Linked DNA regions of Macaca fascicularis. The protein of the gene in region 1 interacts with the protein of each later gene in a pairwise test. Links are inferred from orthologs where the notes say so. Each region holds a gene or a part of one and is shown in the gene's direction. Other genes may lie near its edges.

Evidence for each region. The genes of interacting proteins can lie anywhere in the genome.
Region 2: the proteins of YY1AP1 (region 1) and MAPK14 interact in a two-hybrid assay, tested with the Homo sapiens proteins (2 studies listed by BioGRID and IntAct). The link is inferred for Macaca fascicularis from reciprocal best matches to the Homo sapiens genes YY1AP1 and MAPK14.

What each region holds. Positions count from the first base shown.
Region 1 is NC_088375.1:105,437,874-105,443,942, forward strand, and holds part of YY1AP1 (YY1-associated protein 1), read left to right. Parts: intron 1-1,241; coding exon 1,242-1,413; exon of another isoform or gene 1,414-1,452; intron 1,453-4,140; coding exon 4,141-4,285; intron 4,286-5,814; coding exon 5,815-5,965; intron 5,966-6,069. UniProt on the Homo sapiens protein: Associates with the INO80 chromatin remodeling complex, which is responsible for transcriptional regulation, DNA repair, and replication. Enhances transcription activation by YY1. Plays a role in cell cycle regulation.
Region 2 is NC_088378.1:135,568,090-135,574,158, reverse strand, and holds part of MAPK14 (mitogen-activated protein kinase 14), read left to right. Parts: intron 1-859; coding exon 860-939; intron 940-3,243; coding exon 3,244-3,322; intron 3,323-6,069. UniProt on the Homo sapiens protein: Serine/threonine kinase which acts as an essential component of the MAP kinase signal transduction pathway.

The sequences.
Region 1 (6,069 bases):
GTAAAGTAAATACACATGTAGGTGTTGAATTCATTATCCATTCATTACGCTCGCTATTAGTGTTTTATGTGTAGAGCTAGTTTTCCTCATGACATTTTGAGGTATTTTGAGCTTTTAAATTTGAAATTTGGCCAGGTGTGATGGCTCATGCCTGTAGTCCCAGCACTTTGGTAGGTCAAGGTGGGAGGATTGCTTGAGCCCAGGAGTTTGAGACCAGCCTGGGCAACACAGTAAGACCCCATCTCTACCAAAAAACTTAAAAAAAAAATTAGCTGGGGATAGCGCCGAGTGCCTGTAGTCCCAGCAACTTGGGAGACTGAGGTAGGAGGATCACTTGAGCCTGGGACATTGAGACTGTAATGAGCTATGATTATACATCACTCCAGCCCGGGTGACAAAGTGGGAACCTGTCTCACAAAAACAAAACCAAATTTTACCTCATAAAAGTTGCCTCAAACTTTTGGACAGGTAATGATAATACTCTCAGCTTCTTCAACAAGTCGTCTTTGGAGTTTGAAGAATACATTTGCTAGTACTCTAAAACTTACTTGGTGATCAACAGGATGTCTTCATCTCTTACTGTATTCAGAGGAGGATGAGGAGTACTTGGTTGTAGGCATTATTCTGAGACCAAAAGACAAAACAGTTTTAAAAGTAATGTCCTCGTCGGGTGAGGTGGCTCATCCCTGTAATCCCAGCACTATGAGAGGCCGAGTCAGGCAGATGCGAGCCCAGGAGTGCGAGATCAGCCTGCTCAACATGACGAAACCCTGTCTCTACAAAAAATACAAAAATTAGCTATGTGTGGAGGTGTATGCCTATAGTCCCAGCTTCTCAGGAGGCAGCGGTGGGAGGATGGCTTGAGCCTGGGAGGAGGAGGTTGCAGTGAGCTGAGATTGTGCCACTGCACTCCAGCCTGAGCGGCAGAGCGAGACCTTGTCTCAAAGTAAGGAAATTAAAGTAATAGTCCTCATTCTTGAGCCTCTTAATTCTAGCTCGGGAGCTAGACCATGTATTCCTTAGTGATAAACAGTTTAAAAATAAAACAAGAATATAATCCCTGAATATCTGAGAACTCACGCGTAATCTTAACAGACTAGTTTATTGTGAAAGACTTTATGATGATTTTTACCTGTTTTTATCCTGTAGTAGGAAGGTCAGCTTCTCATTTAGATTCTGAAGGCTACTGGTATTAATTGTCTGGAATTGTCTTAGATCTTCCTTGTGTCCTGTTTTCCCAGAAAGAGCTGGGAACCTTTGCTCAAAGCTCCATCGCCCTTCACCATCAGTACAACCCCAAGTTTCAGACCCTGTTCCAACCCTGTAACTTGATGGGAGCTATGCAGCTTATTGAAGACTTCAGCACACATGTCAGCATTGACTGCAGCCCTCATAAAACTGTCAAGAAGACTGGTAGGAGACAGATGTGTCAGCTTTAAGTTTTTACTTGCGGTGAGAGGTGGTGGGAATCTTATCCCATAGATAACTTCCTAGGATACTTGCCTGGGAATGGAGGACACAGGACATTTGTAATTTCTTTCTTCTCTCTTTTATCCTCCCTTTGTACTCATTATCTGAGTTCTAGAATTACATGATAATCTCTGGGCCTGGGTAAGGCATGGAGGCAGTGGACAGTATAGGAATATGGGAGGTAGAGATATGAGGCTCAGTGCTAAGAATTGGACTATAGCAATCTGAGGGATATTAGGAGTCAGATGTAATTAAACTGGGGCCTGGTAAAGATGAAAGTCAGGTGGTAAAGTTTGGTCATGTTTAGCTTTTTACTCTCTTCATTAAGATCAACTAACTTCATTTACCATAATGATTCTATCATAGGTGATGTCTCCATTCTGAATGAAATGTCTTTCAAGTTAGACATGTTAGAGATTGTACATTTGCCATATTCAGTATTTTTTAAAAATTTGCCAGTTTAGATTCTTCTACCTTGCATTGGTTTAATATTTTTTGAGAAAATATTTGCTGTTTGCTTAAGCAAATATTTGCTTCTGATTTGTTTGCTGATTTAGTAAATTACTTGTGGTTTGTTCTGGATTTGGGTTTGTCTTTGGATGCTATTTTAAATCCCGGAGTCTTATCATTAAATTGAATATAGTTGAATTTAAGTGTACTATATCATAGACACAGATCCCAAACTACTTTAATAGCTATGTTAAGTGATACAAAATGGTAATGAAAATGTGATTTAATACCACATTATAGTATTATCTTACACATCTAGTGACCTGTTGCTTTCTTCTGGGGATATAAAAATAACACTTATGGAAGGAGAAATAGGGATATAGTAGTTTTGTCTTTAGAATTGCAGAGGTTCCTGAAAGTGAGAGAATGAGAGAGGGAGAGAGAAATGAATGAGACTTGAATTGTCTCATTCCTTTTATGGTTCTTTTGTTCCCAACCTCAGGAGGAATCTGGGAGAACTTAATGCAAGTTAAGTAAAAATCAAATAAAAGTAAAATTTGGAATACCAGATTTGTGAAGGAGATTAAAGAAGTTGGAATCTTTTTTGTGTGGTTTTTTTTTTTTTTTTTTAAGATGGGGTCTCGCTCTGTCACTCAGGCTGCAGTGCAGTGAGGTGATCTCGGCTCACTACAACCTCTGCCTCCCAAATTCAAACAATTCTCCTGCCTCAGCCTCCGGACTAGCTGGAATTATAGGTGCGTGCAAACATGCCTGGCTAATTTTTGCATTTTTAGTAGAAATGGGGTTTCACTATGTTGGCCAGGCTGGTCTTGAATTCCAGACCTCAGGTGATCCCCCTGCCTCGGCCTCCCAAAGTGCTGGGATTACAGGCATGAGCCAGCATGCCTGGCCTAGAATTTTATCCTGGAAGAAAAAAAGCATTGTTGAAGGTCTATTATCCTTCAAAGATTTAAAGGGGAAAGGAGGTAAAACATTTTTGAGCATACACTATGTGACAGTTATTACTAGGTACTTTTTTTTTGTTTGTTTTTGTTTTTGTTTTTGTTTTTTGAGACGGAGTCTCGCTCTGTCGCCCAGGCTGGAGTGCAGTGGCGCGATCTCGGCTCACTGCAAGCTCCGCCTCCTGGGTTTACGCCATTCTCCTGCCTCAGCCTCCTGAGTAGCTGGGACTACAGGTGCCCGCCACTGCGCCCGGCTAATTTTTTGTATTTTTAGTAGAGACGGGGTTTCACCGTGGTCTCGATCTCCTGACCTTGTGATCCGCCTGCCTCGGCCTCCCAAAGTGCTGGGATTACAGGCGTGAGCCACCGCGCCCGGCCATTACTAGGTACTTTTTAAGTGTTTGTTTTACTTTGTGAATAAAGTGTTACACGTAAGAAAGAGTAAGAGAGGCCAGACTCAGTGGCTCACACCTGTAATCCAGCACTTTGGGAGGCCGAGGCAGTCGGATCACAAGGTCAGGAGATCGAGACCATCCTGTCTACAGTGAAACCCTGTCTCTACTAAAAATACAAAAAATCAGCCAGGCGTGGTGGCAGGCACCTGTTGTCCTAGCTACTCAGAAGGCTGAGGCAGGAGAATGACGTGAACCCGGGAGGCAGAGCTTGCAGTGACCCGAGATTGCGCTACGCACTCCAACCTGGGTGACAGAGCCAGACTCCATCTTTAAAAAAAAAAAAAAGAACAGTCGGGTGCGGTGGCTCAAGCCTGTAATCGGGAGGCCGAGACGGGTGGATCACGAGGTCAGGAGATCGAGACCATCCTGGCTAACACGGTGAAACCCCGTTTCTACTAAAAAATACAAAAAACTAGCCGGGCGAGGTGGCGGGCGCCTGTAGTCCCAGCTACTCGGGAGGCTGAGGCAGGAGAATGGCGTGAACCCGGGAGGCGGAGCTTGCAGTGAGCTGAGATCCGGCCACTGCACTCTAGCCTGGGCGACAGAGCGAGACTCCGTCTCACAAAAAAAAAAAAAAAAAAGAATAAGAGAGTCAACTTTTATAGCCATTGAATGGGACTCCATTTAGACATAATGTTAGTTGAAGAAAGACTGTGGAAACTCTTTGGGGAATGCTAGGCAGATGGGAGGGAAATCCAGTTAGATAAGGACAGCTCTACCTAAATGCAGAAATGCATTCATAGGCTTTTTGAAGCCCTCTTTTTTCCTAGAAGCTGATTTATCCGAGATTTATTTTCTTATAGCCAATGAATTTCCCTGTTTGCCAAAGCAAGTGGCTTGGATCCTGGCCACAAGCAAGGTTTTCATGTACCCAGAGTTACTTCCAGTGTGTTCCCTGAAGGCAAAGAATCCCCAGGATAAGATACTCTTCACCAAGGCTGAGGACAAGTAAGTGTTTACTCTGGGGCATCAAAACGCAGAATATCCCAAGGACAAGACATAGTTCCTTTGAGGAGTTTAGGGGAAGTAAGATTTGTATAATAAAACATGGACACAAAAGACAAAAGGAAGAGCAGTATAGATGAGCAGATTCCTCTAGGACGTGCTTGTTTGTGCCAAATACTGCTTTCTGGGGGATGTCACGCACATTTTTAAATTGTTTTAGACCGGACGTGTTGGCTCCCACCTGTAATCCCAGCACTTTGAAAGGCCAAGGCAGGAGGTTCACTTTTAGTGTTATTTATTTAGAGACAAGATCTTACTCTTTTACCCAGGCTGGAATGCAGTGTTGCAATCACAGCTCACTGCAGCCTTGAACTCCTGGGATCGAGCGATCCTCCTGCTTCAGCCTCCATGGAGTAGCTGGGACCACAGGCGTGTGCCACCATACATGGGTAATTTTTTGTGTACAGGTGAGGGTCTCTGTTGCCCAGGCTGCTCTTGATCTCCTGACCTCAAATGATCCACCCACTCGTGGCCTCCCAAAGTCCTGGGATTACAGGCATGAGCCACCGCGCCCATCTAGATTATGAACATTTGTATGGCTCTTTGTGTGTATTGCCACACTGTTATCAGCAAATATGTATATATGTAACCATGATTATATATGTTATGTTAGAGGATACTATTGGTGCCAGTTTAATTTGTCTGACAGGGTACTTATTATTCATTTTATATTTGTTTTATTAGGATCATTTTCCTTCCCATGTATTCTCTTTGAACTTCCTTTGTATTGTTAATATACAGCTCATCACGATCTGACATTTATTAATGATTTATGACGTTTCTTTTGCTCCTACTTAATTGTGAACTATTTGATTCTTATTCATAGTACTTAATCACTACTCACTAAATACCTGGAATTTTCTACTGAGTAGTCACCAACTTACACAAGAATTAGTTGTCAAAAAAGTAGATTGGCCAGCCATGGCGGCTCACACCTGTAATGCCGGCACTTTGGGAGGCCGAGGCAGGAGGATCGCTTGAGGCCAGGAGTTCAAGATCAGCCTGGGCAACAAAGTGAGAACTGGTCTCTACAAATAATGAAAGAAAACATTAGCTAGGCATGGTAGCAAACATTTATGGCCACAGATACTCAGGAGGCTGAAGTGCGAGAATCAATTGAACCCAGGCATTCAAGGCTGCAATGCACTGTAATCACGCCACTGCTCTCCAGCCTGGACAACAGAGCAAGATCCTGTCTGAAAAAATGAAAAAATAGATTGGGCCACACGCCATGGGCTCATGCTTGTAATCCCAGCACTTTGGGAGGCTGAGACTGGAGAATCGTTTCAGCTTAGGAAGTAGTGGCTGCAGTGGGCTGCAATTGTGCCACTGCACTCCAGCCCAGTTAACAGAGTGAGACCTTGTCTTAAGAAAAAATGAGAAAAAGTAGATTGTAAAATGTGTTAGTCTGGGGAGGCCCTTTAGAAGGAAGGACTGTGAAGTGAGATTTAGTGTCATTGCTCCTTTCTCAGTTTGTTAGCTTTAGGACTGAAGCATTTTGAAGGGACTGAGTTTCTTAACCCTCTAATCAGCAAGTACCTTCTAACCTGCAAGACTGCCCGCCAACTGACAGTGAGAATCAAGAACCTCAACATGAACAGAGCTCCTGACAACATTATTAAAGTGAGTGTTTCCTGAATGCGCCATCCATGCACCTCACTAATACATATCCGTTCTTTCCTCTTGTAATTCTGAAAGGAAAAAAGAACCTTATTTTATCTTAAGCT
Region 2 (6,069 bases), on another chromosome or scaffold:
GTTAAAAGAGAGAAGTTGTGGTACAGCTTACATATGTGCCTATACATATAGAAAATCTCATAGTTCTGCCCTTGTCAGATACTTGCAGAGTATTTTGCAGACTTCCCTCCACCTGTTTGTTAAGTGAGGTTAGTCTGTTCGCTTGTTGAAGAGACTTGTGGAGGAAATCATGTGGCATGCTTTAACACTGTCAGCAGCCTGTGACTTCTGTTTTGCCTTTGCCATTAGCCTCTAACCTTCTGCCCGTCTCCTCTTTCTTCATTTACCATTTTGTGTTTGTGGCAAGTATTTTAAATGTACCACTAAATAATATCTTTGAAATGTGGCATTGCTTATTAACCCAGATGCCTACGTGTATCTTAATTCGGAGGGATGGTGCCTTGGAGAACCCGTGCTGCAAAAGTTTAGTCTCTTTCTTGAATGGATATGTTGGATATTTTATTTTGTTCAAAGTTTGAGTCAAAAATTTTAGAATCATCTATATTTCTCCCACAAACAGGTTTTGGCCGTCAGTACTTGAAAACAGTTCTCTGGCTGGCATCCTGGATCAAGGGGCAGTCTGTTTCCAGGGAACCTAAAATATTTAACAGTAAAGATGATGCTAAAACCAAAGAAAAGTAATTTTTCTTATCTGCATGGCCAGTCACTGACTACATGCCTAGTTACTCATGTCATTCACAGAAGCGACTCATGTCATTCACAGAAGCTTTAACATGCAGCCTTGGGTCCTCGGGTAGGGTGAATGGGGGGTAGGTTTTTTTGTTTGTTTAGGGGTGGCTTTTTGACCTTTTTAAAAACTTGAGTTGAAAATTATTTTTTGCACTGTATGTTTAACAATGCCCTTGACTAGGCATCTAAGATATTAACCAGCTTCAGCAGATTATGCGTCTGACGGGAACACCCCCCGCTTATCTCATTAACAGGATGCCAAGCCATGAGGTGAGAACAAAGAGACTGTACAGGGATGTCGCACTGAGAAGCCACGTTCTCATTTTATTGCCACTGTATAACCAACAGTTTTTAACATCACTGGATGCTTGCATGTGCCTGGAGGCCTGCCTATGTGCTATTGCAGGATGTTGACTTTTGGGATAAAATGTCATCCAGTCTTGTGAGATTGGGGATGGAAAATTGTTATTTTTATATTTGGTTTTGTGAATTTAGTGCTCGTGAGGCGGTTTCTTTCTAGGTGCTATGCCTGTAGCTAGGGTGTGCTACTATCATGACCTTTATCAGAAGGGTAGTTAACTGAAGTCCATTAGCATGCTTTCTAATTCATCCACTTTTTTAATGACCAAAAGAGAATTCTTTATTTAAAAACAAAACAAAACAAAACTGAAATATCCAGTACTAATACATACTATATTTAAAAGAAAATACACAAATAATATAAAATAAATACAAACACTTTGGTACAGTTAGGTACCTTCTTTATTCTTAACTACTTAGTCTAACTCTTGTTTTATTATCAGAGGTCATTGGGGCACTTCTTTCTTTCTAAGATACCCTTAATATTTTAGGGAACCGGGTTGGCATCACAGAGAGCCCCTCCCAGCAACTTTGTTTCTACTTCGGCTATATTCAGGTCATCTGTTGATTTATCTTTATTAAAGGGATGACTGTTCTCTGAATGAGATAATTGTCTCTTACCTGTTTTCCCTTCATCTTTTTATTTACATGTTCAAGTAGAAAGGGATTACAGCCATTTATATATTCAATTCCTACAACTTTCTTTTCAAATCAGAAAGATTCTCAGTTGCTTTTCAAAGCAGACCTTTCCTCCTGACTCCACATGCAATCATTAAGAAGGTGAAGGCTGGGCGTGGTGGCGTGCATCTGCAATTCTCAGCACTTTGGAAGCTGAGATGGTAGGATCAGTTGAGCCCAGGAGTTTGAGACCATCCTGGGCAACACAGCAATACTGCAGGTCTACAAAAAAATTTAAAAATTACGGCATGATAGCACACGCCTGCAGTCTCAGCTACTTGGGAAGCTGAGGCAGGAGGGTTGCTGGAGTCAGAAGTTTGAGGCTATAGTGAGCTGTGATTGTGCCAGTGATCTCCAGCGTAGGCAACAGAACAGAGACTGTGTCTCTAAAAAAAATTTTTTAATAAATAAGGTGAACTTGCCCAAGCAACCAGATTTTGTTTTTGTTTTTGTTTTGTTTTAAGATAGGATCTCACTCTGTCACCCCAGCTGGAGTGCAGTGGCACAATCTTAGCTCACTGGAACCTCCACCTCCTGTGCTCAAGCTTCCTGGGCTCCATCTCCCTGCTCAAGTGATCCTCTTACCTCAGCCTCCCAAGTAGCTGGGACCACAGGCATGCATCACCATGCCTGGCTAATTTTTTGTGTTTTTAGAGACAAGTTTTCACCATGTTACCCAGGCTGGTCTCAAAGCCCTGGGCTCAAGTGATCTGCCCTCCTTGGCCTCCCAAAGTGCTGGGATTACAGGCGTGAGTCACCGTGTCTGGGCAACCAGAACTTTTTACAACCTTGTGTGTGTATGTGTAAACATAAATATACATACATACCTTTACTGTTGGACTGTATTAAAACAGAAATTTTAAAAAGGTGGTTAAGATAGACAGCAGACTTTGCTTTTCTCTGAAGGTGATAGTGGGATAGCAGATAATGTTTCTTGAACTCTCACTTGGAACCAAGTACTGTGTTAAGAAAGTACTAGGTTTGTTATCTCTAATCTTCACTCCAACCCTGTGAGGTAGGACTGTTATATTAAGTTTATATTAACTTTTTTGTTACCAGTGTTACTTTGTTAGCAAGGTTTAATATTGATGTCCTTTGATGTGCTAAGAGCACCTGCTGAAGTCAGCACTATCAAAAGACTGCTGGTCCAAGACTTACTTTGGGAATACCAACCCTTCTAACAATTTTAGCTTTTTGAGAAGGCTGTCTCAGAAAGGGCTACTTCTTACATATCTCGGCCTCAGTTTTTAAACTTCTCATCCTGTGATCAGAAAGCTGATGAAAGAGAATTTGATTGATGAGTATTCTCGTTCACTTGAAATGCAACTGTGAGAGATAGCAGGAATAAAGAAGGTGATGATCATAACTAGGAAGTTAGGATAGCAGTAAGGGAGAAGTTTTATCAAAGACAGTTATAAACATTGGAGTTAGTGGACTTTGTCAGTTAACACTCGTTCCTTAGCAGGACCAAGGTTCTTTCTTTGAGAGAAGTAACATTATTGAACAAAGTAATTCTGAAAACCCTTGTTTTTTCAGGCAAGAAACTATATTCAGTCTTTGACGCAGATGCCGAAGATGAACTTTGCGAATGTATTTATTGGTGCCAATCCCCTGGGTAAGTTGACAATATCCTCACCTCATGGATATTGAATTGGTTATGATATAAATTGGGGATATGAAGAAGAGTTTCTCCTTTTGACCAAATAACGTACCATTAGTTGAATCTTGGAAGGTGATAAATATGGCTTTTATTATCTATTTGTGTTGTCAGATTTTTTTTTAATTACATGAGATGCTTATATGTTTAAATGATCACAGACCTTGGGGTCGGGGGAATGGGCAGGTACAGTGGAGAAAGGAGAGAAAGTAATAGGAATGTTGAGATAAAGGATTGGAGAGGCAGGAAGAAGCAGATACAGAAGAAAGCTGTAGCTTGTTCACAACTGCTGTGGATTCATGGTGTCCCTGAGTGGAGGACAAAAACCACTGAAGTACAGGTGGGTGTTTAGAGGACCCACCCAGGAACTCCCTGCAGGGTGCTCTGCTCTGTCAGTAGCTGCCGTTGCTACAGATCCTGTCATCTTCCACACACATGAACTTTTCCCCTCCCTTATTCTTTCTCTGCCCCTTAGAGGTGTAACTATCCTCTCCTCTTTGTGGAGCTTATTTGCTACCTAAACTTAAAGAAATGGCTTCATATGCCTTCAAGATCCTTGGCAGAGGGAAGTGATGGTGGCAGTTGAAGATATGTGTTGCCTTGGCTAAAAATGCAATTGCTTTATTATTATTATTATTATTATTGTTATTATTTTTTTTGGTAGTGTCAGGGTCTCAGTCTGTTACCCAGGCTAGAGTACAGTGGCACAGTCATGGCTCACTGCAGGCTTAAACTCCTGGGCTCCAGTGATCCTCCTGCCTCAGCCTCCCACATAGCTAGGACTACAGGCATGCATCCCCATGCCTGGCTAATTTTTTAAAGAATTATTTGTAGAGACAGGGTCTCACCATCTACTAATCTTTGTCTCCTGGGCTCATGCAATCTGCCCACCTCAACTTCCAAAAGTGCTGGGATTCAGATGTGAGCCACCATGCCTGGCTGACTATATTCTTTGAAGGGGAGGACTGATGTGTGCTTCAGATGGTCCCTGAAAGCTGCTTTGCCTGAGCCTCATTCCCTGACTCTAGAAGAGGGCAGTGGACAGTGCTGTTTAATGGTAGACACAGAAAGATCAGACCAGGACCTCCCTACAATAGGGAAGGGAGCTATGCTATGATAACGAGTATAATCCACCTTCTCACTTTTCTTAAGATTGTATTGCGTGGTATGTTTTAAAATCTCACTGCATTTCTTTGCATCTGTGTGGGTCATGTGTCTTCTTAAGGGTCTTGGCAGCTATGCTTCAGGTTTAGTTTTATCTTTTTGAGGGCCGACAGCCATGCTGACTTCTTTAGAAGCTGGGGTGAAGGCTAGGTGATTTTACCTTTTTAAGTACTTCATCCATAGTGGTTATGGAGAGGAATTTTAGTGTCGCAGTGATAATTCTTACAATAGCAGAGATGCTCATGCTCTTTGAAGTATTGGGCAGTTGTGGATGAGTTCGTGTCAGCCTTGGAGACGGAGAGTATGTCATATCTCAGCTGGGTTGCTCTCCTGCCCAAGGATGAATCCACAGTCTCATCAGGGGTAGGTACGATTCTACTGAGATTGGTTTAGGTTTGCATCTGCCCTGGCATGCTCTAATTGACTTTGTATGATTTATTTGAGCTGAGAAGCTCTCTTTGAGCCTTAAGTACTACAGGATGTTGGGAAAAGATGTTGTGTTCTTTCTTTTTTTTTTTTTTTTTTTTTTTTTTTTTTTTTTTTTTTGAGACGGAGTCTCGCTCTGTCGCCCAGGCTGTAGTGCAGTGGCACGATCTTGGCTCATTACAAGCTCCGCCTCCTGGATTCAAGTGATTCTTCTGTCTCAGCCTCCCAAGTAGCTGCGACAGCAAGCGTGTGCAACCACGCCTGGCTAATTTTTTGTATCTTTAGTAGAGACTGGGTTTCACCGTGTTAGCCAGGATGGTCTCAATCTCCTGACCTCGTGATCTGCCTGCCTCGGCCTCCCAAAGTGCTGGGATTACAGGCATGAGCCACTGCACCCGGCCCGTTGTGTTCTTTCTTGTCTGTCATTCTGTTCTGAATTTGTCCAGAACAGCCCTAAGCCCTAAGTTTTAAACAGGGCAGTACTCACTGACACCCTCTTAACGGACTCAGAAAGATTTGTTAATTCATGTTTTAGTGGGAGAGGGGAGATATTTGTGTTCCAGCAGCTTATTTAGGTCACATAGCTCCTGATAGGTCTTCCCATTCTTTGAAATCATGACGTTGAAACCGCCAAAAGAACTAGATACCACTTTGCTAATGAGTTGAAAGGAGGCTTTGGTCCATCTGGTGCTCAGCACTGTACTTCTCAGCATTTAAACGTGCCTTACAGCCCATTGCCAAACAGTGATGTCATATAATGAGGTTCCCCTTGCCGGGCAGATGGAGTACAGTGTTACTCTCACAAGCTCATGCCCAGCATATTAACTGAGCAGGAACATGCCAGCAATATAAATATTAACAGCTCTGTTTCGTCAGCCACTGACTTTGTTTCACTGCTATTCCCAAAACATGAATTAAAACTTAAATTACCCCTTGATGTTAGTGTATATATTTATCTGTCAAGATTTTTTTTTTTAAGAAATAGCATCTCACTCTGTCACCCAGGTTGGAGTACAGTGGCACAGTCATGGTTCACTAAAACCTCAAGCTCTTGCATTTAAGTGATCCTTCCTCTTCCCTATCCCAAGTAGCTGAGACTACAGGCGCATAACACC